Mus musculus: one gene and its partners. The protein of the gene in region 1 interacts with the protein of each later gene in a pairwise test. Links are inferred from orthologs where the notes say so. Each region holds a gene or a part of one and is shown on either strand. Other genes may lie near its edges. The genes, in order: Pnma5, Vim, Ccnc, Zmynd19, Wdyhv1, 1110051M20Rik and Prkaa1.

The links.
Region 2: the proteins of Pnma5 (region 1) and Vim interact in binary tests that used the Homo sapiens proteins (3 or more experiments, as listed by UniProt). The link is inferred for Mus musculus from reciprocal best matches to the Homo sapiens genes PNMA5 and VIM.
Region 3: the proteins of Pnma5 (region 1) and Ccnc interact in binary tests that used the Homo sapiens proteins (3 or more experiments, as listed by UniProt). The two-hybrid records come from large-scale screens. The link is inferred for Mus musculus from reciprocal best matches to the Homo sapiens genes PNMA5 and CCNC.
Region 4: the proteins of Pnma5 (region 1) and Zmynd19 interact in binary tests that used the Homo sapiens proteins (3 or more experiments, as listed by UniProt). The two-hybrid records come from large-scale screens. The link is inferred for Mus musculus from reciprocal best matches to the Homo sapiens genes PNMA5 and ZMYND19.
Region 5: the proteins of Pnma5 (region 1) and Wdyhv1 interact in binary tests that used the Homo sapiens proteins (3 or more experiments, as listed by UniProt). The two-hybrid records come from large-scale screens. The link is inferred for Mus musculus from reciprocal best matches to the Homo sapiens genes PNMA5 and NTAQ1.
Region 6: the proteins of Pnma5 (region 1) and 1110051M20Rik interact in binary tests that used the Homo sapiens proteins (3 or more experiments, as listed by UniProt). The two-hybrid records come from large-scale screens. The link is inferred for Mus musculus from reciprocal best matches to the Homo sapiens genes PNMA5 and CSTPP1.
Region 7: the proteins of Pnma5 (region 1) and Prkaa1 interact in binary tests that used the Homo sapiens proteins (3 or more experiments, as listed by UniProt). The two-hybrid records come from large-scale screens. The link is inferred for Mus musculus from reciprocal best matches to the Homo sapiens genes PNMA5 and PRKAA1.

The regions. Positions count from the first base shown.
Region 1 is NC_000086.7:73,034,176-73,038,682, forward strand, and holds the start of Pnma5 (paraneoplastic antigen-like protein 5), read right to left. Parts: upstream 2,929-4,507; 5' UTR 2,900-2,928; coding exon 1,043-2,899; 3' UTR 989-1,042; exon of another isoform or gene 784-988; intron 153-783; 3' UTR 1-152.
Region 2 is NC_000068.7:13,572,958-13,577,457, reverse strand, and holds the start of Vim (vimentin), read right to left. Parts: upstream 3,148-4,500; 5' UTR 3,027-3,147; coding exon 2,464-3,026; intron 1,918-2,463; coding exon 1,857-1,917; intron 1-1,856. UniProt on the Homo sapiens protein: Vimentins are class-III intermediate filaments found in various non-epithelial cells, especially mesenchymal cells. Vimentin is attached to the nucleus, endoplasmic reticulum, and mitochondria, either laterally or terminally.
Region 3 is NC_000070.6:21,740,856-21,744,760, reverse strand, and holds part of Ccnc (cyclin-C), read right to left. Parts: intron 2,807-3,905; coding exon 2,771-2,806; intron 2,149-2,770; coding exon 2,057-2,148; intron 1,515-2,056; coding exon 1,447-1,514; intron 1-1,446. UniProt on the Homo sapiens protein: Component of the Mediator complex, a coactivator involved in regulated gene transcription of nearly all RNA polymerase II-dependent genes.
Region 4 is NC_000068.7:24,952,777-24,956,276, reverse strand, and holds part of Zmynd19 (zinc finger MYND domain-containing protein 19), read right to left. Parts: intron 3,042-3,500; coding exon 2,901-3,041; intron 1-2,900. UniProt on the Homo sapiens protein: May be involved as a regulatory molecule in GPR24/MCH-R1 signaling.
Region 5 is NC_000081.6:58,147,723-58,151,627, reverse strand, and holds part of Wdyhv1 (protein N-terminal glutamine amidohydrolase), read right to left. Parts: intron 3,295-3,905; coding exon 3,195-3,294; coding exon of another isoform or gene 3,187-3,194; intron 1,023-3,186; coding exon 972-1,022; intron 647-971; exon of another isoform or gene 1-646. UniProt on the Homo sapiens protein: Mediates the side-chain deamidation of N-terminal glutamine residues to glutamate, an important step in N-end rule pathway of protein degradation.
Region 6 is NC_000068.7:91,441,836-91,446,487, forward strand, and holds the start of 1110051M20Rik (UPF0705 protein C11orf49 homolog), read right to left. Parts: upstream 2,880-4,652; 5' UTR 2,780-2,879; coding exon 2,734-2,779; intron 1-2,733. UniProt on the Homo sapiens protein: Regulator of the tubulin polyglutamylase complex (TPGC) that controls cytoskeletal organization, nuclear shape, and cilium disassembly by balancing microtubule and actin assembly.
Region 7 is NC_000081.6:5,171,026-5,174,930, reverse strand, and holds part of Prkaa1 (5'-AMP-activated protein kinase catalytic subunit alpha-1), read right to left. Parts: intron 724-3,905; coding exon 499-723; intron 1-498. UniProt on the Homo sapiens protein: Catalytic subunit of AMP-activated protein kinase (AMPK), an energy sensor protein kinase that plays a key role in regulating cellular energy metabolism.

The DNA of each region.
Region 1 (4,507 bases):
CATAGCATGCAACACCCCACCAACCCTAGAAAGTAAAATTATAAGTAATAACAGGAGAGGAATATCACACATAGTCCCAAGTTGAAGTCATCAGCCTTGTCAACATCCATGGTTCCAGAACCAGGCTCAGGAACTCAGGTTAGCACACACATCTGCAAGAGAACAAGCAGCAGGCAGCTGGCCTAGATGTACACTAGGAAAGCTGACAAGGAGTTCACAACACCAGGTGGGTAAGAGAGCAGCTAGCGTAGCCTAGGCTGGCACAGAAGCTCACAACACGTGCCAGGGTGTAGAAGTGGCTGACCAGGTAGGTAGTCAGGGCCTCCAGTTGCCCTCACTCACAGCTTTATACAGGAGCAGCTGATGGTGGGTAAGCACGTGATAGGGGAAGGGACTCACTGGACAGCTGGGTCACTATGAGGTTAACAGATAAGGGGGCGGGGTTCCAGAGCAGGGGGCAGCCTGCCTCTGGACAGCAGTGGCAGGGGAAGGGGGAGAGGGGAAAGGGAAGAGGAAGGGGCATTTGTGTTGGGAGAGCCAGGCAGTTGGCAGAACCCTTGAGATGGCCTTTTCTGTGATGTCCACCTGTTTGGTTATGGGTGGCAGATGGAGGATGGCACCTCGGCAAAGCTGCCAGGCCACCCTCCAGGTCGGCAGGGTTTGGGGCCAGCCTTGGCAGCTGCCTGGCAGAGTTGTATTCACCTGCCTGTCCCTGCTTGCTCTCTGGAATTCTCCAGCAGCCCTGGACAAAAGAGAGCAGAACAAACTCTCCCCCCCCCCGCCCCCTGCCTGCCCCCGCCCCACACACAGAGTCCTCTTTCTGCTGCTCCTGTTTGCTCACACAAAACCTGTCCTGCACACTCCCAGGCTCTCAGGCCAGCTGAGGGCATTAACCCTGTGGTGCCATGTGCCCCAGCCTGGGGCTTTTCTCAGGCACTAGTGTCCTGTCAGGGTGTCAAGAAGGAAACTGCCTTGTGTTGGCACTTGCCTCCCGGGTCCTTTGGGTCCTGAGGCTTGCAGGTTTCACAGGAGCGGGGGGAGTTCACTCACGAAAGGACTCAAGGGTGCTGCCCTCATGGGGCTCCCCTAGAGCTGTGTAGATGATCCTGAAGACAGGCTGGATCCTGCGGCCTCCTCTCCTGGGTACTGTCTCCCTGCCTAGCCGTGCTTGTTCCCAGGCACTGGTGTCCTCTGCCCAAGACAACCCTGTGGCAGGCTCCTCCACACCCTGTGCTGCTTCAGTGCCAGTGGGCATTCTTAGCTCAGAACACCCATCCTCACCATCTTGTGACCCACTAGTATCCCAACTGCGGTCTGGATTACCCTGTGGTCTAGTTATCATACTAGCTCCCCATTTCAGTCTCTGACACTCCCCACGGTCCTGCCATTTGGTAGTCACTGAGCTGTGTGGAATTTGTTCTTGCTTGTTGGGATCATTTCTAGCTAGTAAGAAGTTGGGTGCCTTACCCTGGCCCTGTTGCCCTTCTGCAACACTCATGTCCCCTGTTCCTTTGTCTGGGCTGCCCCATGATTTTGTCAAAGTATCTCTGTTGCCTGCCACAGGAAGGAATTCCTGGCTGTCCTGAGCCTCTATTTCCTTGGGGTTAGGGTGGCTCACTGCCCAAGCCCCTCTCTCGTTCCCCGACTCCTGTGCTCTAACATAAGGTTTCTGCTCATCGGGTTCACTTTCAGCCCAGAAACCTGATTCCTTCCTCTGTCCCTCTTCCCCAGCACTGTGTCTCCAGAGCAGTCGCCTCCGTTTCACTGATGTCATCTCCTCTCCTGTGGTCTGGGTGCTGACCTCCCTAGAATCCTCTGCCTGGGTGACAACTTCATTTGCCGCCTCACATGCGCTGCTGTCCCTTCGTACCTGCTCCTGCTCCTCCACTACCACAGTGCTTTCCCACTCTTCCTCGTCTCGAGTAAGTTTCATTAATTCCAGAAAAGTAGGTGGGCACCCTTGCTGATCTAAGAGGGAGAGCTTTCCCCGAAGGCCAGTGGTCATGGAGACCTGAGATAAGACGTGCTTGAGACGAATTGAATCTGCACTGTGTGCTGACAGTGGGCTCTGCTGCACTGCTTTTTGCAGCAGGGGCTCTAAACGTAGCAAGTAGTCAGATACCTTCTCTGCAGGTTTCTGAGAAGACTGAAGGAACCTGAACTGTAAGACCTTAGAGTCCTCTTTATTTCCAAAGATGTGCTTTAGGGCTTTCAAGCACTGCTCCACGGTTAGGGAGTCATTGCTAGTCCACAGTGCCTGCATGATTGACAGGGCAGAGCCACGCAAGCTCTCTAGAAGGCACTGCTTCTTTTCCCTCTCGGACACCTGCCATAACTGCATCAGCTCAGTGACCTCCTCTAACCAGGTTTCAAAGCTTTCTTCTCCTGGGCCTGGAAAGGGACTGCCAGAAAATACTTTCAGTTTTTTGTAACATGTGCTATTATTACACAGAGACTTCAAGCCTTTTGGTTTGTCTTGGTCTAAATTCTTTAACTCTATTTTCCCTGTAGGAACAGTGCTAAACCCCAGGGCTTTGGCCACATCTACTATTCTCCGTCCTTCATCTCTTAGAAAGTAGATCAACTTATTCATAAACTCATCATCTGGGCTACGGGGTTTGACAACCACTTCCCAGGCCCCACCCTCTGCTGGTATATGAGTAGGCATCATAGTATAATCAACAACTTCAGGCAGTTCAATTAAGACTGCCTTAGCTTCATCTTCCCTCCTGAACATCCTGCCTATCACCTTGTATGCACACAAGGGAGGTAAGCCTTCTTTCAGAGCATCATTTATCGCAGCCTCAGTGTACTGCACGGGGATGCCCACAATGAGCACAGCCTTCTTGGGATCCAGATCCATCCCCTTACACCAGTCATCTAATAGAGCCACGGCCATTGTTCCCTCCCTCTATCAGCAGACCTAACACTAGGACTCAAAGATTCTAAACCAATGCCATATAGAAAGGCAGTGATGTCCTGGTTTCCACAACCTGAAATGCAAATGAAGTTAAGATGTTACTTAATGATTCCCATCACCTTTCCTTTTCCCAGACATTCAGTCTTGTTCAATCACAGAAAGCTCCCCAAACCTCACTGAACCCTGCTGACCTTTGGTTGCAGCAACCTCCTTGCAAGTCCAGGGACACTACTGTGCATTCTGCAAGTACCTGTGGGGAAAATGCCAATGTCAGGAGGCAAAGACCAATGCCAGTGGAGGAAAGAACAGGAGAGCACTCTGCCACCCACTCAGTGCTATATTGGATTTAACCCATTCCTTGTTAGGTTCAAGATTGGCAACACATAAACTCTCCTCCACCTGAAGAAATGCTCAACAGATAAGAAAGATGACTAGAACTCAGCAGATGTGATCACAGTGCTGAGTGCAAAGAACGTACGACAAGCTAAAGTATTGACATGGACACAAGAACAGTGTGAATCTAGATTTCTACCATAAGTTACCACATAGGTTAAGGCCTTTTATGGACAACAGGTGATGCCATGGTTCTCCAACTAATGAAGCATCTTAGCAACAGGTGTGGAGAGTAGGATAGGGCAGAGACTGAGGAGCGAGTGCTGATAAATTAAGCATATGGGTTTACAATAGTATGGAATCTGGAATCAGAGGCAAAAAAAAAAAAAAGACCCCAGAAAGTAAAAGACAACTCTCAGGTATGGCCCTACCCTGCAGTCTGTGAATCTTGGCAAGAAACCCCTTCACCAGTCTTCTGCTACAGTTAGAGGCTATTCCCAAAATAGATGCTCACCCTGCTGTCTTCTGTAGAGTGCCCCACTGAAGTGTGGCTATGGTGACTTTCCTGTGCTGGTGCTTGATCCTGGCAGTCTTCTGGCTCTATCCAGACAAGCAGTGCTGGTTCCTGCCCACTGATCTGTTCAAGGCAAGGCAAAGGAATATTTAACATGGTCTATCCTGAATGTCCCTGCCCACGCAGGCTGTGCTAATTCTGAGTCTGCTCAAGAATCTAAAGACAGCCCCTTGCTGGGTATGGCTGAGCACATCTTTAATCCCTGCACTTGAAGTAGGCTGGGGCTGATCTGTCAGTTTTGAAACCTAAGCGGGCAGTAGCTACTTTTTTTTTAATTAGATATTTTCTTCATTTACATTTCAAATGCTATTCTGAAAGTTCCCGAATATGTGGTCTTGCAAACTTTATATGCCTCAGTACGGAGGAATGCCAGGGCCAAGAAGTGGGAGTGTGTGTGTGTGGGGGGGTATGGGGGACTTTTGGAATAGCATTTGAAATGTAAATGAAGAAAATACCTAAGAAAGAAAGAGAGAGAGAGAGAGAGAGAGAGAGAGAGAGAGAGAGAAAGAGAAAGAAAGAGAAAGAAAGAAAGAAGGAAGGAAGGAAGGAAGGAAGGAAGGAAGAAAGAAAGAAAGAAAGAAAGAAAGAAAGAAAGAAAGAAAGAAAGAAAGAAAGAAAGAAAGAAAGAAAGAAAGAAAGAAAAAAAAGAAAAAAGTTCTTGCAGCCGGACGTGGTGGCGC
Region 2 (4,500 bases), on another chromosome or scaffold:
TCCTGTATTCAAACCTTCAGATGCTTATCTTTGGAATTTAGAATAAGCACTCAGTTATCTGGCATCCAGGTTCCCAGGCTAGCCTCGTATCAAGTAGTAATTCATTGTTCAAAATCCAGGTCTTGCATTTGCAGAGATATGCTCCTCGGGCAAGAAGGAAAAGAAATATAATCCTGAACTATATTGTTTTGCCTTCTCTAATTTTTTTAATGTGTAAAACACCCTGGCTCAGCCTATAGGGTATTTCTGCCTGTCCCAGCTGTCACAGTGTTATTTCAATGACTTTGTCTGTTTTAGGATGACAGATCAAAACACTTACAATGAAACTATACTTAAACTTCTCTGCAGAGTTTTTATAAAGTGATCTATTTTAAGACAGACTGTTCAATCTTGCATGTGAAATGTTGTTTCCTTTCAAGGAAATGTTTGGAAACTTCCCTTGTAAGCAACTGTATTTGCAGTATAGTTTATAACTATAATGTTGAGTTACTCTATCAGTCCCAAAGAAAATACTAATTTAAAAAAGAATATAAGAACTTAAATAGTAGTATCATTCATTTCTGACTTCTGCTAAGCCATCAAAAAATATATAAATGATATTGGACTAACCTTCTCGAAAAAGTTCAGCTAAATGTGTCATTTCATTTAAATGAATGAATGAAACAATTTTTAGTCCACAAATAAGAGATGGTGTGTATTAACTCAGTGCTTTGTAGAAAACATTCCTTTGGTGATGACTGAAAATGCCCAGTGACTGAAAGGGGCTGCATATTCGTCTACTGCCATTAAGGATGCAAATGCCTTCAGAATGCTACCTTAGAACATTCATCTGGAGAGTTTGGCTGTTGATCCTAACAAGTGTTCCAAACAAGACTGAACTGGCCATCTGTCCACTTCGGGATGCTAAGGTAATGCCTAACCCTGGAACAAACACAAACAAACAAATCCTCCCTCCATAAAATACTCCATTCTTCAGTTTAGGGTTTAATTTTGTTTGTGGAGGGTGCTAATGAGTCTACAAACCCCCCTAAAAGGGGGCCTTTCCAAATGTGAGGGAGGACTTTAGCTTTAAGAACTTTGTACACGGCATACCTCACAAGCCTGGCCCAGACACAAGATAATGGATGTTAGCAAATACTTGTGTCCAATTGGAACTGTGGTTACATCATTACATATTCAATAAGAATGTAGCCTGTTGCAAAGCTGCTCTGGGAACACAAAGGCCCCTATTCTTTCTGTCCAGAGCCACCGCATTTGCCAGAACGTCCCTATCTACATTCCATAGTGAAGCCCATAGAAACCTTTAACACCCTTGAGCTACGGGAACAGATGGCTTCTTTTCACCCTTGTTAGATTTCAAAAATGGTTGTGCAATGACTCTTCTGCTAACTTTCACGCAGTGCCGAACTTCGAAGGAAGAAAGGGAACTTGGCTTAATTCCAGTTAAACTTTCTCATCCTCCAGAGTATTCTACATTTCCAACTGGAGGAAGCAACTGTGGTTTTTATGACCTTGTGAAAGTTAGCCAATTTCACCTTCACAATCCACAATGTAATCAAATTGTAACCATTCAATATCCGAATGTCGATATGTTTCAAAAAACGAAAGGAGAAATGTTTCGGGGGTGTGGGGGATCAGAAAAATCTGGAAACGAAGCAGAAAATAAAGCCTTCATGTTCCAAAGACTGCCCTAAATAGTGGAGTTTTTCAATCTGTGCGCTTTCCGCCGCCAGGGGGCTTTACAAGCAGACGTGAAGTTCTGCACCTTTTAAAACCTAAGGGAAGTAACTTTTAGAACCGCTCGCGGGTTGGCTCCATTGGGCTGCTGGCTGCATGTGAAAAAGAAGTCTACAAACCTGTCTGAATGACTGCAGGGTGCTTTCGGCTTCCTCTCTCTGGAGCATCTCCTCCTGCAATCTGAAGCAGCAGCACATTAATCAAAGGGGAACTGGAAAACCGCCAGGGGCGGGGCGGCCACACCCAACCACAAATGCCGCCAAGCCTTGAGTCCAGAGCTGCTGTGACACCTCCACCCACAGTAGTTACTGCAACTTGTCGAGGTGGCAGCTCTCTGCAGGTGTTAGCTGGAGTTGGGGCACACTGGAAAAGACAATCACTGCCCTTCCCTTACAATTACAGCCAATCCCCTGTCCCAATATCCCAGATGCCTTTGCCATCTCTTTGTCTGGAACCCTTCACACCCATTCTTTCCTCCTGTCTGGTAACTGTAAGCCCAGAAGAAGGACCTAAGAAACTTTCTAAAAAGTTCAATGGAAGTGCTTGAGTGAGGCGAAAAGAGAAATGTTCACTGCAAAGTTTAGGTTCAGGGTGGGGCCCGCTTCCTCTGCTATCCTCCAGACAACCGCCACCCCAGCCACATCCCCAAGGGCGTGGCAGCCCCAGTGCAAGGCCCAGGACTCCCCTCCCTCCCACACCCCACCACTCGCGTAGGTCAGGCCTTACTTCTCTCGCAGCCGCATGATGTCCTCGGCCAGGTTGTCCCGCTCCACCTCGACACGGGCCTTGTCGTTGGTGAGCTGATCCACCTGCCGGCGCAGCTCCCGCATCTCCTCCTCGTACAGGTCGCCCAGGCGCGACTTGCCCTGGCCCTTGAGCTGCTCGAGCTCAGCCAGCAGGATTTTGTTCTGCTGCTCGAGGAAGCGCACCTTGTCGATGTAGTTGGCAAAGCGGTCATTCAGCTCCTGCAGTTCTACCTTCTCGTTGGTGCGGGTGTTCTTGAACTCAGTGTTGATGGCGTCGGCCAGCGAGAAGTCCACCGAGTCTTGAAGCAGCCGCACGCCCGGCACGCTGCTCCGCAGGCGCACTGCCGAGGACCGGGTCACATAGGCGCCACCGGGGGATGAGGAATAGAGGCTGCGGCTAGTGCTGGGGCGCAGTGCGCTGCCCAGACTGTAGGTGCGTGTGGACGTGGTCACATAGCTCCGGTTGGAGCTGGGCCGGCTCGATGTGCCGGAGCCACCGAACATCCTGCGGTAGGAGGACGAGGACACAGACCTGGTAGACATGGCTTCGAAGGTGGGCTGGCTTGCTGCGGCTGGAAAAACTGCAACAAGGGAATGAGGGCGCGGTGGCTGTGAATCGTAGGAGCGCTGGGGTCTCTGGGGTCCCGGAGCAAGAGTGGCAGAGGACTGGACAACGCCAAGGGCGCTGCTTTTATAACACTGTTAGGAAAGAGGGTCCCCTCCCACTGCCATCCTAGCCGCCGAGCGAGCCAGCCAATGGGGACCCGGAAAGAAGTGAGGAAGGGGGGTGGGGGAGGGAGCTCCCCTCGAGCCTTCCTCCAGGGCTGTAGGGTATCAAGCACAGTCCTGTTACTAATTGGAAGTGCTAGGCCTTTCAGGGGCTTTCCTGGTGATCACCCGAACTCTCTACTCACCCTTGGGTGCTGAGAAAGAAGGGATCGCGGGAAGGATTCATGGGGGAAGGAAGGGGGGCTCTGGAAAGTTGAGTAAAGCGATCCCTGGCACTGGGCCAAAGGGGCGTGGGACTAGGCGCGCTGGTAGGAGGGGCGTGGTCGCAGTCGCAGATCTGCGGTCTTCTGGGACTGGGTGGGTGGGGAGATCCGAGAGCGGAGGAGCAGGAAGAGCCTGCAAAAGCAGTCCTGCAGATCGGAAGCCGGGGAGAGAGAAACAAAGAGGGCCCGAGATTGGGGGTGGAGAAGCACACAGCCCAAGATATCTGGCTCAAGACCTTTGCAGAGGGCTTGTTTGACGTGGTCATATCCCCTGATCTAACGGACTCAGTTCAACTAGAGAGGATTAGGAGCCACTGCCTCTGGAGTAAAGCCCAGGGGACGGGGTGGGGTCGCTGAGTCAGTGGATATGACTCATGGAGCCCTGAGGGTGAGATCGTCTAGCGGTTCAGGAAAACCGTTAGTTGAGATTGACTCCAGACTCCAAGAGCGCTAAGCTCATTCATTGTCCGAAGTTTTAAACCAACTTTGAGAATAACCGTTCTTGTGATTGTTGGGGAAGTGTGGAGAGTTCTCCTTAGAAAGAAACTCTTGCAGACCCGGGAGAGCCACAAAACACATCCACACACCCCTACCCCCATCCCCACCCCTGACGACAAAAGCTCCCTCCCTCCCTCCTTCCCTCCCTCCCCCTTTCTCTCTTTCTTTCTCTCTCTCTCTTTCCTGCATGAAACCACACCCTAAGTTCTGGGTGAAAGAGGAAACTACTTTGGTAATTTCAAAAGCAAGCCCAGTGATCTCGGCCTTTCTGAAAGTGGACTGCATTAGAAGATAAGCAAGTCGGACAAGAAACCATTGGGTTTTGCTAAAAAATCCAATTCGGTGAATGAGTTCGGAAGAAAGGCAGTTATGTAGCTCAAGTGATAAACTGAAGAAACAGATTTCTGTAGATTTTAGAGCAGCGATGCAGGGGAGAAGATTCTAGTGACTTGTCTGGGCAACGCCACAGATCCTATTTTCCACAAAGAAAAATCATGAAATCTAACTTGAAATGGCGACAACTGTCC
Region 3 (3,905 bases), on another chromosome or scaffold:
AACAAAACATTAAAAAAAGGCACTAATGCCACAGAAGTGTTAAGTTTAATTTATATCAACCTCTAGTATAAGGTTGAAAACCAGCAATGTTTATGACATAACTGAAAAGGGGTACTGGAGAGAGACGGCTTAGCTGTTTAGAGTGCTTATTGCTCTTGCAGAAGACCTGGGTTCAATTTCTTTTTCTTTTTCTTTTTTTTTGGTTTTTCGAGACAGGGTTTCTCTGTATAGCCCTGGCTGTCCTGGAACTCACTTTGTAGCCCAGGCTGGCCTCAAACTCAGAAATCCGCCTGCTTCTGCCTCCCTAGTGCTGGGATTAAAGGAGTGTGCCACTACGCCCGGCTGGGTTCAATTTCTAGCACCCACATGATGACTTACAACTATCTCTAATTCCAGGGGGTCTAGTGCCCTCTTCTGGCCTTCATGGGCTTCAGGCTTGTGTGTGTTACATATACATACATGTGGGTACAAATATTCATACATATAAAACAAAATCTAGGTGGTGGCGCACGCCTGTAATCCCAGCACTTCGGAGGCAGAGGCAGGCGGATTTCTGAGTTCGAGGCTAGCCTGGGCTACAAAGTGAGTTCCAGGACAGCCAGGGCTACACAGAGAAACTCTGTCTCAAAACAAACAAACAAACAAACAAACAAACAAACAAACAACCCTCCCCAAAAAATGTAAAAGAAAAATTAAAAAGACATAAATGGAAAAAAAAGAGAGAATGGAGGAGGAAGAAGATGAAGAAAAGGAAGAGGAGAATGAAAACGAAGAAAAAGGAGAAGGGTTTTTAGGAGTCATGAAAATCAACAGGAGAAGGAGAAAAAAAGGGAGCAGAATATATTAAGTCTTTGTACAAATAGATAGATAGCCGGTGCTCTACAGGATATATCATTTAACTGTTTATAAAGTTATTATCCCTCCCACAATTTTTACAAACTCAAAAAAATTGTTTTTACAACTGTAAAGTAAGGAATGTTTAAATCTGGTCTACTTAACTCCCAAGACAATTTGAGCCCATCACTGTATGCTTCCTACACACCATAGAACGCCAGCTAAGCTCTCCTAGTAACAGAAGCATAATGCTTTTTTCCTTAAGTTCTTGAGTATTTAACTGGATCCAGAAATAGAAAACAGAACCAGTTATTTATAAGACAAATAGTATCAGGAGACTTAGTTCTGAATTTCCTCCCTAAACAAATAAAAACTTTGCTTAGATACTAGTTAAAATTATTTTAAATGAATTAAGGGGGAAGAAGCCTTACCAAAAAGCAGAAGGGGGAAAATAATGCTAATCTGGGATGGTTGTAGTGTATATCATTGAGAACTCACATTCAAGATTAGTCTACTCCTACAAAAACCCATAAAAATCAGTTGAAATGTATTCTAGGATGACCTAAATAGGCACAAATAGTTATCCAATAAAGGCACAGCAAATTTTCATACCTAAAGCGATCATGAACGGAGGGTACAGCAGACAGAGATCCGTCCTGTAGGTATCATTCACTATCCTCCTGTAGAAACGTAAACTCTATCGTTACTAAACGCAGAGCTGCTTCATCGACTGTAACTTCTTCCCCAGAGAACCAGATTTCCCTCCCATCTTTGTACACTTACATCCCTGTTTGATTAACGACACACAGAGACTAAGCAATGGAATGCATGAGTGTGACAACAAGGGGACAGGCATTACTGGATATAAAACTCATGTAGCAGTATAGTTTCCACTTTGAGACCCCACAACAGATAATGTAAAATAGTTGTTCACATTCTAAAAAGTCAAAAGTAAACAAAATGTATTATTTTAAAAGTAAATTCATTTTTAATGTTCATGTAAAGTCTGTTTTTCATACAAAACATTGACAGATATCCTTATCAAATAGGTAATTCAATATATATATGACTTTATAACTTATACTACTACAGTATTTCAAATTTAACAAGCAGATATCTTCCTAAATATAAAATGACTTGGGACATTTTAGTATATTAAGCCATGTATTTCGTTGTCAGCCCCCTTGTCTAGTAGCCTATGAGTAACTTCTGGTCTAGTTACCATGCAAGGGGAAGCAGCACGTCTTCCTGGCCCATGTCCTGCACATACTGGAGCAAAGGTCTATAAGGATGATACACTATCAAGCAACAGTCCTAGAAACAGTTTAAAAATATGTACGTATAAAAACAGATGTATTACAACATAAAATGGTATCATTTTCCAACAACTTGTTTTGTGTTTGAAATGAATTTCTTTTTCTCATACTTGCTTTCTTTTTCTTTATACTCTCACTCAGATATGACCGTATGCTACTGTAACAGTGAAGGCAGTGCTCCCTCTGGAATACACCTTGGTACATCACATGGTACCCAGTCAGCATCCACTCTTTCCCTAGAGATTCAGAGGGCCACATTTGCAACACACTGTAGCCTATTACTAGGCTATACATCCATACTTCTCAACTGCAGGGGCATGATGCTGACAAAGCCTAACCCATCTTTAACTCTACATACACGCATAAATTGTACACAGAATTTACAATGGTCCTGGATTACTTGCTTGTAACCCTTATTAAAGTTACAAGAAAACTAAAAAATAATTTTTTTGCAGCCCAAGTAAGATAAATTATTTTACAGCCTTCAGAAAGGAAATAGGGGATGTTACTCTTATGTTTCTATGACTTTGCCATAATATATCATTTGGATATATTAAATTTTAACCTCCTTTCAATACAACCCATCAAGTTTTTGCTGTGTTATGGAAAAATATACATACCATTAATTCTAAGAGGTAAAATTCACATTCTAGTATCTGTTTAAAAAGAAAAAAACCAGTGAAAATAAGCATAATTACATAACTACTTTTTAAAAAATAAGTTACAGATACAGATAAATTAAATAATTCATCAATATTATATAAAATTTCTAAATCAAAAAATAAACACAGTAGCTTATGTTAGCATTAACATTTACAATAAAAAATTACTAATTTTGTTTGTTTTTTGAGACAGGGTCTGATGATGTAGACCAGGCTTCCCTCAGAGTCACAGAGCTCCATCCACCTCTGCCTCCCAAGGGATGGGAGTAAAGGCTTGTGCCATTATGCCTGGCAAAAATTGCTTTTTACTGTTATATAATACATTTTAAATTCTTATGAGGAAAAGACAGTATATTATATTTTTTGGGGGGGGGGGGTCTTGGAATTGAACCCAAAGTCTCTAATATTGTAAACACTTATTTTGCTACTAAGCCACAACGAGAATTCTTATAAAAATAAAGAAATAAATAAATAAATTAAAAAGTTATAAATGTTAGAAACTTCAAATTTAAGCCAGCATAGTGGTACATGCCTTTAAATTTCTGAGTTTAAGGTCAGCCTGGTCTACATAGCAAGTTTGAGAGTTCCATGACAACCAGAGCTAAACAGAGGACTCCTGTCTTGAAAAAACAAAACAAAAAACTTCAAAAATTTCTGTATACTTTCTATTTGACAAATGCACAGTGCAACTATCACTATACTTTTTTTTTTTTTTTTTTTTTTTTTTTTTGGTTTTTCGAGACAGGATTTCTCTGTGTAGCCCTGGCTGTCCTGGAACTCACTCTGTAGACCAGGCTGGCCTCAAACTCAGAAGTTCGCCTGCCTCTGCCTCCCGAGTGCTGGGATTAAAGGCGTGCGCCACCATGCCCGGCTTCAACTATCGATACTTAATGGAATAAACAAATTCCTTGCAAGGTGAGAAGAGGTAAGTCTATTGAAATATTAACAGAAGCCCAACAGATAATTTTTTAAGAACAGTTTTCAAACTGTTCCAAATGAGACACATGGGTGTAACCTGGAAATATTGATGTAAGACTACTGCCACTCCAGTAAAATTCTGAAAATTCTGCTTTAATTTGAAGAAGTTCCAACT
Region 4 (3,500 bases), on another chromosome or scaffold:
TTTGGTGTGTCTGAAGACAGCAACAGTGTACTGACACACACACACACATATATATATATAATATAAATAAATAAAACCTTTTTTTTTTTTAAGATGAGCAGTCAGTGCTCTTAACCACTGAGCCATCTCTCCATGCCTGGCTCATAAATAAATTCTTAAAAACAAAATGTTGAAAGAAGCCAGGTGGTGGTGGCACACACCTTTCCTCCCAGCACTTGGGAGGCAGAAGCAGGTGGACTTCTGAGTTCAAGGCCAGCCTGGTCTACAAAGTGAGTTCCAGGACAGCCAGGGCTACACAGAGAAACTCTGTCTCGAAAAAAAACAAAACAAAACAATACAAAAAAAAAAAAAAAAATCAACTGAGAAATTAACCCCATCGGACTGGCTTGTGTGTATGTCTGTGGAGCATTTTCTGGATTAATATAGGAGGGACCAAATCATTGTGGGCAGTACCACTCTTAAGACAAGTTGGTCTGGATTGTGTAAGAAAGCAAACTGAGCAAGCAATGGAGAGAACACCAATAAACAGTGCTCCCAAGTGGTCTCTGGTTTAGTTCCTGCTTCCAGACTCCTGCTTGAATTTCTGCTCTTAATTCTCTCAACAATAGATTGTGACATTGCTTTTGGTCATGGTATTTTATCATACTAACAGAAACCTAACTAGGACAGCCCTAAACTGACTGCTGGTTGCTCACAGGTGAGCGCAGCAGACTGTGTGGGACTTTGGAGAGGCATAGCTGATTTCTCCACAGGAGCTGCTTAATTGAGCCTTATGAATAACGCACTCTCCCTCACAAGTACTGGCCATCCTCCTCTGACACAAATGCCCACAGTACCAAGCACTTCCCTCCCAACACACACATTCATTATCCCCATCTTCTACTTCCCCTTACATTGGCATACCAGACATGCTCATGGATCCTGGTCCAATCTGGTCCTGCCTCTGCTAGTAAAAGGTATGTACTACTACCTACCTGAAGGGCACAGCCTCCACCAAACTTATCTCTGAAAACTGGCTGAGAAAAGGTCCAACAGGCCACCTGACCAAACACCTCAGCCCTCTACCCCTAGAACTGTAACTGCCCCTTTCTGAATAGGCTTTAACTGTGGTCCTATCATGATCATAAGGTGTGTTCAGGAGACTAAATAGAGCATTCAGCACAGGACCCTACTGAATAGGATGTCTGCCTCACAGGAGGAAGGGCAACATCAGTCTCAGTTTCTCAGCTACACAGCAAGTTGAGGTCAGCCCAAGATATACAAATCTCAAAAGAAAGATGGAAGAAAGGATGGACAGACAGGAGTGGTGAAAACAGAACTGAAGACTCAAAACCTCTGACATCAGGTAGACAACAAAGGAAGGAGATGAGAGGTCTGAGACCCTCCTAGGGCTGCCTTCACATTCTGCCAGAGTAAAGCAGCTTGGCACCTGTCTTCTAAAGACCTGGAGACCAGCACTATCAAGTACAGACACATACTCGCACATCTCCTCCCTACAGTACATGGGGCACTAGCATCACCTGAAGACATTCACTACAAACATCTACCCACTGTCTGTAATGACAACCTTGTCAATACTATTAGTATCCGTTGAGGTGGTAAATGCCAAAGAAGGTTGCTTAAAGACTTAAGAACTAGACGGGCGTGGTGGCGCACACCTTTAATCCCAGCGCTCGAAAGGCAGAGGCAGACGGATTTCTGAGTTTGAGGCCAGCCTGGTCTACAAAGTGAGTACAGCCAGGGCTATACAGAAAAACCCTGTCTCAGGAAAAAAAAAAAAAAAGACTTAAGAACTTGTATACAGGGCTGGCGAGATGGCTCAGTGGTTAAGAGCACCGACTGAGCTGGGCGTGGTGGCGCACGCCTTTAATCCCAGCACTCGGGAGGCAGAGGCAGGTGGATTTCTGAGTTCGAGGCCAGCGTAGTCTACAGAGTGAGTTCCAGGACAGCCAGGGCTATACAGAAAAACCCTGTCTCAAAAAAACCAAACAAGCAAACAAAGAACTTGTATATAGCCAGGCAGTGGTGGTGCATGCTGTTAATCCTAGCACTTGGGAGGCAGAGGCAGGTGGATTTCTGAGTTCAAGGCCAGCGTGGTCTACAGAGTGAGTTCCTGGACAGCCAAGGCTACACAGAGAAACCCTGTCTCGAAAAACCAAAATAAAAAAAAAAAAAAAAAAAAAAAAAAGCTATTTGTACAGATACTTCCAGGCGCCCTCAGGGGACGCCTATGAGCAGAACAATGATACCTGTGTGGCTTGGGACTATGAGGTCAAATTTCCCTAATCATTTCCTGCTGGTCCCTCCAGCACCTCTCCAGGGCTTCCTGAAATTCACTGTGGTGAGTTTGAGGGTTAGTAGGAACATGGCCTCCAGGATAGAAAAGCTTGTACAATGCTGTTTTCAGGACCACAGGGAACTGAGAAGCCAAGAGGTCACATCCCTAAACTACACTGTCCTACTACTTCCTCTGCTCAGGGAAAGCTATTCACCAAAGGAGACCCACCCTGTCTCAGTGTGGTCCTGGGGCATGGTCTCATTCCATCACATCAGCTAAAATATTCTTAGAGTCAATTACTACAAGGTCAATCCCAAAAATTAATCATAAAAATCCTTCTGGCTAAGCATGGAGGTATATATGCATCTTTAATCCTAGCACAGGGGAGGCAGGAGGAGGACTGCTGATTTCAAAGTCTGGTATTCATAGCAAGTCCTAAACAGCAAGGGCTACCTACATAAATGAAAGATTCTTCCCTTTCCCATGAAGAAGAATTCTCACACATGGCCAGTGGTGGGTTGGGTATCAAGGTACCGAAGCACTCATAGTAAAAGCACAAAACAGGAACACAGAAACATGGGACAGCCCTTCAAGTATCAGGTGCTGACCAGAGAAGACCCACCTTTGTTTGCTGGAGGTCTCTTCAGCTTTGGGTCGCCAGCCCCATGGTACCAGCTGCAGGTTGTCCAGGCGATTGTCCACAGTCACAGCATTGAGATGTACCACCTGAAACCCGGGAGCCACACCTCCCCTGTGTCGTTCCCTAGGGAAAGACATTTTTCTTGAGGGTGAGGCCTCAAGCACCTCTATTCAAGCATCAATACCCAGCCACACAGGAATACCAGTTATCTGGTCAGAACTGGGCCCATATTCTGAAGTGGCATACCAGGAGGAAGCCAAGCACATCATCATGGCCCACACAGACAGGGAACTTGCCTCAGAGGACAATAGAGAGAACCCTCAAACCAACAAAATTATCTAGAGTTAAGTTTCCCATTTGGATACCAACATTTCAAACCACCTTACCCATCTATGATCAATGACCCCGTTTCTAAGGATGTAACCTATGACTCACCAGAAGGATCCATGGGTCTCATCTCATCAAAATCCCACTAGTTGTTTAAAGTGATATGTACATTAGTCACTCCTTTGGGTTAGTGGCAAAGCTCACAAACTCCCAGACTTAAAGAAGATAACGTTAGTCTGACTACTTTGGGTAGAA
Region 5 (3,905 bases), on another chromosome or scaffold:
ATCTGCCTGAGAAGGACCTCATCTCAAGGGAGGAGGAAGTCAGCTCTCATAGCCCTGCCTGGTGACAGAATGGACGCCACTACCTCTTACTCTCATTGTATGGCAGTGCATGGCAATGCCGGCACTCCGAGGTGGAAGGTGCTGACGGGTCTGTAAGCTCACAGGCTGGCGAGCCTAGAGTCCACAGTAGGGCAATAGAAACAAAAGAAACTCTGCCTCCACAAGGCAGGTGAGAAGCAACACTACAAGATTGTGTTTTCCCCTCTGTGTGCACCTGCTACTCAGGCACGCACACGCAGTAGACAAATCATAAAATAAATATTCAGAAAAAAATACTAAGCCTGGTGTGTGTGTGTGTGTGTGAGAGAGAGAGAGAGAACACGCAAGAACTCACACTAAATCTTGAAGCCTTCTCTAGATAAACTAACAAGGCAACTTATACTTTTAATCAGTCTCCAGATAAGTCAAAAAAGCAGCCAGGCTATTATGTAATACCTGACACAAACAACCTAAATGGGGAACTGTTTATTTTGGCTCATGGTTTCAGAGACTACAGCAAACCAACCCTATGGGAAAGGCATAATGCCGGGAGTGACTGTCCACAGCAACAAGAACAGGAGGCAACTGTCCCTCACATGACAACAGGCTAGGAGAAAGAGAAAAAGAGAACACCCGTCAAAACCACAGGTAGGTAGGTAGGTAGAACCTTCAGGGCCCAGTCCCAGTAACTCACTTCTGCTACCTAGACCTCAGGTCTCATGGGTTCCACAACCTCACAGAACAGCACCCCCAGCTAGGGGATGTCCATAGTGCTTCTACCCCAGGCATCCTTTCTCAGAAGATCCTTTTACTAACTATTGTCATAGCCTTTCTCTAGTGTCACTTCAATTCTGTAGTCTCCACTACAGCATACTGGTCACTCAGAGGCCACACAGAACAACGCATCAGAGATGCTCGGGTGGCCATCTTACCCAGATCACAGGTCCATTCTCAGGTCTTGCCTGCTGTTTCCAAATAGGTACCTACAAAATATAGGATATCCGTGAGTTTCACTCAAATCCTTGTAGATCCTCTAAAGCAGTACACTGATGAGCAATAAACTAATCCTCCGCTGGGTGAGCAATGTGGAGGACTTGCTGCTCTTGCAGAGGACCCAGGATTTGTTCCCAGCATCCACAGGGCAGTTTAGCAAATATCTGTAACTCCAGTTCCTACGGACTCCAACCTTCTCCTGGCTTCGGTAGGTACAGTGCACACAAGGTACACAGACATATATGTAGGCAAACACACATACATGTTACCCCCCCTCAAAAAAAAAAAAAAAAGACAATCAGTCAAGCATGCTCTCACATACCTTTAATCCCAATACTCAAAAGCAAAGGCAGGTGGTTCTCTGTGAATATGAAGCCTGGTCTACATAGTGAGTTCCAGGCCAGCCAAAGGTCCATAGTGAAACCTTATCTCAGAAAAAAATAATTAAACTAACTAAATTAAAATTTAAAATAAAAAATGTTGGGGCTGGGGGCCGGGGGCTGGAGGCTGGAGAGATGGCTGAGCAGTTAAGAGCACTGACTGCTCTTCCAAAGGTCCTGAAATCAAATCCCAGCAACCACATGGTGGCTCACAACCATCTGTAATGAGATCTGATGCCCTCTTCTGGTGTGTCTGAAGATAGCTACAGCATACTTAGATATAATAATAAATAAATCTTTAAAAAAAAAATGCTGGGGCTAGAGAGATGGCTCAGTGGTTAAGCTGTTCTTCCAGAGGACCCAGGTTCAAGTCCCAGGACCCACGTGGCGGCGCACAACTGTCTATAACTCCAGTTCCAGAGGAACTGACACTCTCACACAGACATACATGCAGTCAAAACACCAATGCACATGAAATAAAAGTAAATAAGTCTCTTTTTAAGAAATGAAAATGTTTATGTGTCCTCCAGAGAACAGAAAGGCTTGGATTAGCCAGGCAGTGGTGGCGCACACACCTTTAATCCCAGCACTTGGGAGGCAGAGGTAGGTAGATTTCTGAGTTCAAGACCAGCCTGGTCTACAGAGTGAGTTCCAGGACAGCCAAGGCTACACAGAGAAACCCTGTCTCCAAAAACCAAAAAAAAAAAAGGTTTGGATTGGGAGACACAAGGCCAGTCAAGTCATGCCTTCCCATTCAGTTAGTCATGAGACCTCTTTGCATCTTTCCTTCTTCATGTTTTTGGGTTGTTTTTCGAGACAGGAATTTTCTGTGTAGCCCAGGCTGTCCTAAAACTCACTCTGTAGATCAGACTAGCCTTGAACTCATAGAATCGCCTGCCTCTGCCTCCGCCTCCCAAATGCACCCACCACTGCCTACCTTCCTTCTTCACTTTTATGTGGAGAAAGTTAGCAGGCCACGGCATTACATGCCTGTAATCCCAGCCTTGTCTACAAAATGAATGTGCGGCTACAGTGCCTTAGGTAACATGAGCCCTGTCTCTAAAAACAGAAGTGAAGTCACTAAAATAAATCTTGCCTGTTTCATAGAACTATTAACCCCAAATGAGACAACACAATGGGTTACTTCTAATGAGTCACAAAAGTTTACTACAGCTCTACTTAAACTTCAGAGACAAACCTTTACTTCAAATCCGAGTTACATGACTCTAACAATACAATTTTTTTTTTTTTTTTTTTTTTTTTTTTTGGGTTTTTTGGTTTTTCGAGACAGGGTTTCTCTGTATAGCCCTGGCTGTCCTGGAGCTCACTTTGTAGACCAGGCTGGCCTCGAACTCAGAAATCCGCCTGCCTCTGCCTCCCGAGTGCTGGGATTAAAGGCGTGCGCCACCACGCCCGGCTTAACAATACAATTTTTAAAAAGCTCTAAGCCATACACAGAGCATACCTATAATCCCAGTACTCAGAAGGACACTAAGTTTGTGGCCAGTCTGGTCTACACAGTGAGTTTCAGGTCAGCCAAGGTCTACACTTTGACACACTGTCTCAAAAAGAAAGGAAGGGTACGCAATCTGCATAAATATACCATCACATAGTTCATCTCCTAGGAGTAAGGGAATGAATACTTCTAAATTGAATCTAAATGAAAATAATGTTTGAAAGCTTGCTGTTCCAAAGCATATAGACAGCACAGCGTCAATACTGCACTTGGCTTCTGAGGTCCCCCTGAACCTCATCTCCTTCTGCAATCACTTACCAACTTACCATCTTCTTCTCATTTGATATGAAGACTGCATAGCACTCCTCCAACAGATACTGGTTGTGTGTCTTGATGTACTCACAGAGCTTCCAAATGTTTTCCTCACTGAAATCAAACAATCGTTTAATCAATATAATTACAAGTGAACAGCTGTCTTTTGGATTTAAACAAAAAATTGATGAGGATATAACTAGAGAAGACCTTAACCACCTCCTCTGACAGAGGGCTAACAGGTGGCTTTAGTACAGTCAACAGCTGCTAGCCAACCTGTATGTGTGCACATGTCCAGAGGGCCCTTACCTACCACAGAAGGCTGACTGTGGCCAGTAACACACTACCTCAGGACTCCAGAAGCTGAGATAAACAACTTTGCATGTTCTGGCTTCTCTAAGCACCTACTTTTCTCCTCTGTAAAACTCACATTCTTACACCACGCTATAACCCTTTACAAATCCCAGTACTGGAGAGGCATATCTCTTCGAATTCAAAGCCAGACTGGGCCAAATAGTAAGGACCTGTTTCAAAAATAAATAGGGCTGGAGAGTTGGCTCGGTGATTAAGAGTGCCTACTGCTCTTCTAGAGGGTCCTCGTCTGATTCTTAGCACCACATTTCAGCTCACAACTGCCTGTAACTCCAGCTCCAGGGAAATCTGACACACAAACACAAACTCATATACACACTCACATACATATATAAATTAAAATAAACCAAAAA
Region 6 (4,652 bases), on another chromosome or scaffold:
CACAATTTGCTGAACAATGAGGAAGTCTGTGAGCAGCTTGACTTTGCTTAGGACAGTGGAATGTGCAGACTAAGATTAAGACTGTTAACCACACACCAGAGCAGAAGGAACGTTTGTCCAGGGTTCAAGGACTAGTTGAATTCCAAGAACACTGAAACTTTTCAAGAGCCCTGAAACAATGAATCTACTCACAGACTGTCAACACTGCCCCTAAATTAGTCTTGCACTTATGCCTCTTAGAAAAAGACCAACTTCTTTGCCCCAAGTAGCAGTCTACCAATATACCACGCCTCTGAGATATGTACTTTAAATAGCAAAAATCCAAGGAACTGAACAAGGAATTAGGATGTTCAAATATTTTGCAAGCTCATGAGTAAGTGAAAAAAATACATAAAATCTTTAGCCAAAGTGTTTGTGTTGACATTGTTATGCATTAGATATAAAGTTATTTGTGCTATTACTCTGCTGAGTAGTTGTATGTCAACTTGACACCAGCTAAGGTCATCCTGACAGGAGGAACCTCATTTAAGAAAATGCTTCCATAGGAAGCAGCTACCACTGGGTACAAAAGCTGTGATCTCCTGGTCCCGACACACTTCCTGCTATAACTCAGTTCTTTGGCTTTAATCCCAGTTTCATCCAGCAGGATTCCTGCTGCAGTCACTTCTCACTATGTGCATCAGTTAATGTGAAGTTGTTTTATCACCTTTTTCTTTTGTATGAACACAACTTCAGGTATGAGAAAGATACTGTGAGTGTATGTATGTGTGACTGTGTGTGTGTGTAGTCCAGGTCAACCTTGGGTGCCATGCCTCAGGAGCCATCCATTTTGTTGTATTTAAAAATTATTTAATTATTCAATTAGGTCTCCCACACTCGCTCTGTCTCTCTCCACCTCCCTCCCTCCTCAGTGTGTGTGTGTGTGTGTGTGTGTGTGTGTGTGTGTACACACACACATGCAGAGGTTAGAAGAGGCCCTTGGGTCCTCTGAAGCTGGAGTCACAGGTAGGTAGGTAGGTGCTACAGCCCAAACTCAGTTCCTCTGGAAAAGTAGCAAGAGCTCTTAACTGCTAAGCTATCTCTCCATCCCCCAAGATAAATATCTTTTTATTTAAAAAACAATTTTGAATCAACTTTTCAAATGATCAAGAAATTTTAACCATCTGCCAGGTCTGGAAACTCACTCCTTTGAGTCCAACACTGGGTAGACAGAGGCAGGAGGATCTCTGTGAGTTCAAGGCCAACCAAGGCTACATAGTGAGATCAATTCTCAAAACATAAACAAAATATGTATACAGAGTTGTATTTTATTTTAAAATGTGTATGGTACATTCATATAATAAAATGTTATTCATCCATGTAAAGAAATGAGTATCAAGACACAAAACGACAAGGGGGAACCTAAACACCTACTGAAACACGAAAGAGGCCATCTGAAGAGCTTATACACTGAATGATTCCCATTATTCTCAAAGGGGCAAAACTTTAGAAGTCAATAAGATCAGTCATGGAAAGGAAAGGAGCAAGGAGAGGGGTGAATGAATGGGGGATGCACAGAGGAGTTTTAACCATGAAAAGATTGTTTTACATCTTAATGTGGATATATGAGAATATGAATTTGTCCAAGTCCAGAAAACTGTACAATACAAAGAGTGGACCCTAATATAAACTATAGGCTGTTGGTAATCACACTGAGCTAATATTCAGTTGCAAGAAATGTACCACACTAACACAAGAAATTAATAATAGAAGCTAAATAGAAGATACAGAGGGAAAAAACTCTACTATCAGCTCAGTCCTCTTTAAGTTTAAAACTACTCTAAATGTTTAAGCTATGAACTTTTAAATGTGTATGTGTGCATATAAGTGTATACACAAGGTCTGGAGAGATGGCTCAGCGGTTAAGAGCACTGACTGCTCTGCCACAGGTCCTGAGTTCAATTTCTAGCAACCACATGGTGGCTCACAACCAACTGTAATGGGATCCAATGCACTCTTCTAATGTGTGTCTGAAGACAGCTGCAGTGTACTTATATAAATAAAAAATAAATATCATAAAAAATGTTTTAAAAAAATAAGTGTATACACAAACGTATACAGTAAATGTGTTACACACTCACTGCAGGGTGCTTAGCAAAGTACAGTACTTAGTACCACACAGCCTTAGCTCAAGGGTAAGGTCAAGTTCTGCAAGGGGAAAATCTGATCCTAATACTAACTGTATGAGGTCTTATGCAATTGTCTCTTTAGCCTTAGTGTCTCCATCTGTAAAGTAGCAAACACAGCAATCCCTTCTATGATAATGCTGCATGCAAAATGCTTACCTCGTGCAGAATGCCTAATGAAAATGAAAAGCTCGAAATAACCGTGCACTATGAAGGCAAAATTATTATTTACAAAATGACTGAAGTCATTTCAGATGCCAAGTTTGCGTCAATACAAACCTATCAATAATAGCCTTGTTTGGGGCCTCAGATTCTTAATTGTGTTACTTAGAATGCAGTCCTCATTGCCTGAGAGCCAGTCCATATAATTCAGCCATTCTTTACTCCATAAATGTTATTTTTCATCCAGGTTTGGCCCTACATTCAGGCTCAGGCCCTAGAACCCCTTCTTTCTGTCCTCCCGTCCCATCCAGACCCGCTACCGTTCAGGCTCCGCCCCTGTCTCCTACCCACTCCTTCCCCTAACACATTACTCCTTTCTTTTCCCGACGCTGAAAAAAGCCCCTACCCAGATACTCGTAGTCCGGTAGAGCTAGGCGCTCGGGACTCAGCATCCTTTGACCGGGTAGTTTCCACGCTCCAGCTTTCTTCTTCCGGAACCCAGGTTACAGCCTGTCTCTGTTGCCATGGCACCCAGGCGGCCAGAGGAGAACTAGAAGGCTGAGAGGGTGTCACGTAAACAGTCTCCGACTGGCAACGTAGAGCCTATCACACAAGTTCCGGAAGCAGTCACTTAGAGTCTGATTTTCTTTAACTCCTATTTTTGGGATTTGGTTTTAGAATCTGTGAATTAAATTCTCTGAATGTGTCGTATTTTGTGATGCTGAAGAATTACTATCAGTGGCTCATATCTGCAATTTCTGGATTTCATAGTTTCTGTTTATTCTAACAATAATGATCATGTATGGCCTCGCCTAACACTGAGATCTCATTATCTATTATTAATCACTTTTAGGATTTACTCTTTCAAGTTGGTACAAAATGTTCTTTGTATCTTGGCAGCTTCTGGAGGTCGGGGATACGTCTTTAGCATAGAGATACTACTAAGGGCCACTGAGCAATCCAAGGGACCCCATGTGGTGAAAACAGCCTACCAACTCCTCCAAGTTGTCCTCTGACCTCCACAAATCCCCTGCCCCAAATATATATCTCGACAGGGTCTCACTGTATTGCCCAGTCGGGCTTAGAACTTGATGTGTAGACCAGGATAGCCTTGAATTTAAGAGATCTGCCTGAGCCTGCAGCTCTCAGAGGTTTTAATGTTTTAAAGGTGTGTGCCCCTACACCCGGTAAAATGCAATTTTTAAAACTACTCATCAAGTCCTCTGTAAGTTAATGACCATTCCTCTCAAATTCCCTTTAGCCGTTTGAGACTGCTTCTACTTCCTATTATTTGACATCTTGTCCAAGTGCCTTTCCTTTTTCCTACAAAGTCACTTCATTTCTCAAAGGAAATGGGTCAGAAACTAGAGCATTTATTACATATCCTCAGCTCTATCCTTTCTGAAGAAGAAAGACTATTCCTTTCTTTTCAAATAACCAGATTTTCTTATCTCCTCTCTCTGTGCAAGAACAGGAAAGAGATCTGTACAGTGTCACAGTCCAAACCTAGCAGAAAAAGCCACTCGATCCTCACTTTTGTTTTGTTTTGTTTTGTTTTGTTTTGTTTTGAAGTAAGTCCCTGCCCCTTCAACAAGGAGAAGTTTTCGAAAGAGGAGAGGTTTTGTGACAAAGAAAGAAAACGAAATTGATGTCATCAAAGGAGTGACTGGGAATCCCACAGACCACCTACACTGGAGTAAGTAAAGAGGAGGCTCTTCTCTTATGTTCTGAGGGGCCTATTCTTAGTCTCCCCAAAGGAGCTACTCAGACCTTGTAATTCTCCCTTTCCCTTAAATTTGTATATATGTCTCAATTCTAGGCTCCTGTGAGTCACTCTGAATTTGGATGTGGTAAGGAGAAAGGGACAGAGCCACACAAGGGACAGTGTTTGGTGTTCTGAGGTAATGAATTTTCCAGGTTGGTAGTTGTTGATATGAAGTCCTGCAAGTTTTGTTAAAAATAATTAACTTCTCCTTCCTCTACCCCTCCTCCATGCAGCTTGAGGGTATAGAAATTTAATGATTTTTCATATTGGGCTTATTATTATTGTAATGTAAATAGAGTAATAATAAAATTTTAAAAATTGAGATAGAGTCTTACATATCTCAGGCTGGCCTGAAACTCACTAGGTTGCCAAAGATGACCTTGAACTTCTGATCCCCCTGCCTCCATCTCTGGATTGCTGAGATTATAAGCATGGAACACCAAGTCTGTTTTATTTGAAGCTGGTATGGAAAGCAGCCATGTTAGTCAAGCACTCTATCAACTGGCTACAACCCTATCTCTAGGATGGTATTTGTTAACGATGACCATGTTGTCTTACTC
Region 7 (3,905 bases), on another chromosome or scaffold:
CCTATGACTCAAAGTATATTGCCACAAGAAAAGTGTGTCATTAATAAAATGAAATTTCAGCTGGGCGTGGTGGTGCATGCCTTTAATCCCAGCACTCGGGAGGCAGAGGCAGGCGGGTTTCTGAGTTCGAGGCCAGCCTGGTCTACAAAGTGAGCTCCAGGACAGCCAGGGCTATATAGAGAAACCCTGTCTCGAAAAAACCAAAAAAAAAAAATAAAAATAAAAATAAAAAATAAAATGAAATTTCTCTGGTATCTAGAGACTCGAAAAGGTAGAAAAATACATTGGTTTAAAAATCACCTAATATTGCTGTGCAATGGTAATACCACGCGCCTTTAATCCTAGCACTGCACTCGGGTGGCAGAGGGAGGCAGGGCCAGCCTTGTCTTTAGAGTGAGTTCCAGGATAGCCAAGACTACACAGTCCAGACAGACAGACAGACAGACAGACAGATGGTTTGTTGGCTGGTTGGTCAAGTAGGCAGATAAAGTGAGTTACCTGATATCTTTTATTGCGGCCCTCTTCATGGGATCCACCTGCAGCATATGTTTCAAAAGGCTGATTACTGAAGGGTTTAAGTACTGAGGGGTATAAAAGATCCCATCACATATCTTCTTAAAAAGAGTTGGCACATGGTCATCATCAAAAGGGAGGGTTCCACACAGCAAAGCATAGAGAATGACCCCGCTGCTCCAGATGTCCACCTCGGGGCCTGCGTACAATCTGCATAGAGAATGCTAACTGTATTAATCACAATATCAAAAAGCATCGGTCAACACTCTTCAAATACAAATACTTTATGAAAAATATAAGAAAATAATTTTTAAAGAAATCAGTGGTCAGAATATGGTATCTATAGTGGTTGTTGCACATCACACATAAAGATACTAGTCTTATCAGTATTACCTGTTTAAAAATAAGCTATTTTGTAACTTGTGATCCATGGGTCAAATTGTACTACCTTACTATGACCCTCAAACTTCCTACCAATAAGGTCAACCCTTGAGCCATCATGATCAATGTTGATTTGAGCCACAGGGATAGTTTTTTTTAAGTACCTTTTTTGTTCCCCCACCCTCACCTTTAAGTAACTTTTAGTGTGTGTGTGTGTGTGTGTGTGTGTGTGTGTGTGCACATGCATGTGCGTGTGTATGGTGTGCACATGCCACAGTGGGTGTGGAGCTGAGATGACAGCTCTGTGGAATCAGTTCTCTCCTACCTTTACCCAGGATTCAGGGGTCAGACTCTAGGCACTTGGCAGCAAATGTTTTACCAGCTGAGCCAACTCGCTGGGCCCATGATTCAAGTCTGTAGTGACAGACTCTGAACCCATTTCTCCTAAAACCCTCACATCACAGTTCAGGAAGCTGGAGCTGCAGAAGCAAGCCAAGGGCAGTGGAGCTCACAGAACACTCGCCCTCTTCGTGCGTGAGTGCGTCTACGTGAAGGAAGCACTGGAGACACGGATTCTAACTAGCTGCAAACCAGCTGAATCATCCGAGGCTGCCTTCAGGGGGAAAACGAACCCTCAGAGTGACGAGAGTGCTTCCTTCCTATAGACAGCAGTAAACACTGTTCTCAAAATGAGTGCTCCTATTCACACAGACCTCAAGGAAAGACATCCAAACTGTACATTTCCCCAAGAGCCCATTTTATGCATGCTTGAACATGACGCATGCCTTTTTTCTTTAGTTATATTCCCTGTAGCATCTAGATTTTGAATTTTTCTCAAATCAAAGGAATTAAGATAGAAAACACAAATGAATCTTTTTAATTCACTTCATTACCTTTTCTTTGAGCAGTCAAAAAAAAATAAGCACATGAACATAGAAAGCACAGGGATTTTTTTTTAAATTAGGTCCATCACCATTTGAAGCATTTAAACAAGGAAATGGTTGAGGTGGACGGGATTGTGGGCACTGGCGAGCAACAGGCCTCCCCTACCTCATTAGTGTTTCAGCAGCAATGAGGAAGCAATGTGTTTTTGTTTGCTTTGACTTTTACTTGTTTTTTATTTCTTTCTTTGCTTGCTTGTTTTTGCAAGAGCATTTTATTTATTCCCAAGCTGGCCCTGTCTCACTAAGGAGCCTGAGCTGGAGACAAACTGCTGTCTAACCTCCTGGGTAAGGTGCACCACCAAGCCTAGCCAAAGCGTTGATCTTAAAAATAAATTCTCTACGCCAGCAAGATTTTGCTGAAAGGACCCTGATATAGCTGTCTCTTGTGAGGCTATGCGGGTGCCTAGCAAACACAGAAGTGGATGCTCACAGTCAGCTATGGGATGGATCACAGGGCCCCCAATAGAGGAGCCAGTGAAAGTACCCAAGGAGCTGAAGGGGTGTGCAACCCTATAGGTGGAACAACATTATGAACTAACCAGTACCCCGGAGCTCGTGTTTCTAGCTGCATATGTATCAGAAGATGGCCTAGTCGGCCATCATTGGGAAGAGAGGCCCATTGGTCTTGCAAACTTTATATGCCCCAGTACAGGGGAACACCAGGGCCAAAAAGGGGGAGTGGGTGGGTAGGGGAGCAGGTTGGGGGAGGGTATTGGAGACTTTCGGGATATCATTTGAAATGTAAATGAAGTAAATACCTAATTTTAAAAAATGGAAAAAAATAATAAATTCTCTGAGCTGGAGGGATGTCTCAGCCATTGAGAACCTGCGCTGTTTTTATAGAGGTCCCTGGTTTAGTTCTCACCCCCCCCACACACACACACACACAAGGCAGCTTACAACTGCCCGTAGCAATAGCTGAAGGGTGAGGATTGGGGGGGTGGGGTTGGGGGGCTCTGACCTCTGTCAGCACCTACACTAATGTACACATACCCTCACACAAACACACATACATATATGGTTTAAAATAAAGTCTGTCTTTTAAATTAAATTTTACAACTTTAAGCAAATATCTTTTCCCAGACCACTACCCCACTTCCAAATTTAGGCGTGCCTTCTCTTTGTTAATGAACTGTCTCTATCACAGAGGAGGAAGAGGAGGAGGAGGGAGAGGAAGGAGAGGAGGAGGGAGAGGAAGGAGAGGAGGAGGGAGAGGAAGGAGAGGAGGAGGAGGAGGAACTTGAACCTTGAACAAAACAAGGAAATAAAACACAAATTAAATTTTGTTTTCACGCTATTTAAAAAGTAACTAATGAAAATACATCCGTCCTTTAGTGCTAGATAGTAGTTCAGAGTTCAGCAGTCTTACACTTCAATCTCTAGCAGATCTAGATCAAGACTGAACATAAATGAGTCTCTCTCCTTCCTTCTCCCTTTTTATAACCCTCTTGCCCCTCACCTCACCTCGATTTTCCTTGATACCAGGCCTATATAGCCCTGTCTTGGCATCCATGTGCGATACTCAGGCTATAGGCATGCAATACATTCAGCTGGTCTGTTTTTTTAAAGGACCACTTCTTTAGTTTCCTTCCTCATAAAACATGAAGCTACTACATGAATGCCAGCTATTTGAATACTTATACAACTACACGTGACGTTACACTTGTAACTCTGTTCTGCTCTCTGTGCGGTCTAGTTTGGTTTGGTTTTCTTGAGATGGTGTCATGAGAAGGTGTAGAATTACCAGCAAGGATTGCCCATCATGTTACATTTTTTAATGTTCGCCTAAGTAAAGCATTCCTCGGGAGTGAGTACTGCAGTAGGCAGGTTCTCAGCGGCTTATCCACCTTTACAGCTGGTTGGCTTTCAATTCGCCCACCAGAGACAAAAATGAAAGCACTTCATTCTAACTACTTTACTGTGACTTGCAAACCAACACTCTCCTCCAAAGATGGACTTGTTTTTCCACTTGTTTTTTTTATTTATTTCTATTATTATTATTATTATTATTATTATTATTATTATTAGTGTGTGTGTGTGTGTGTGTGTGTGTGTGTGTGTGTTGAG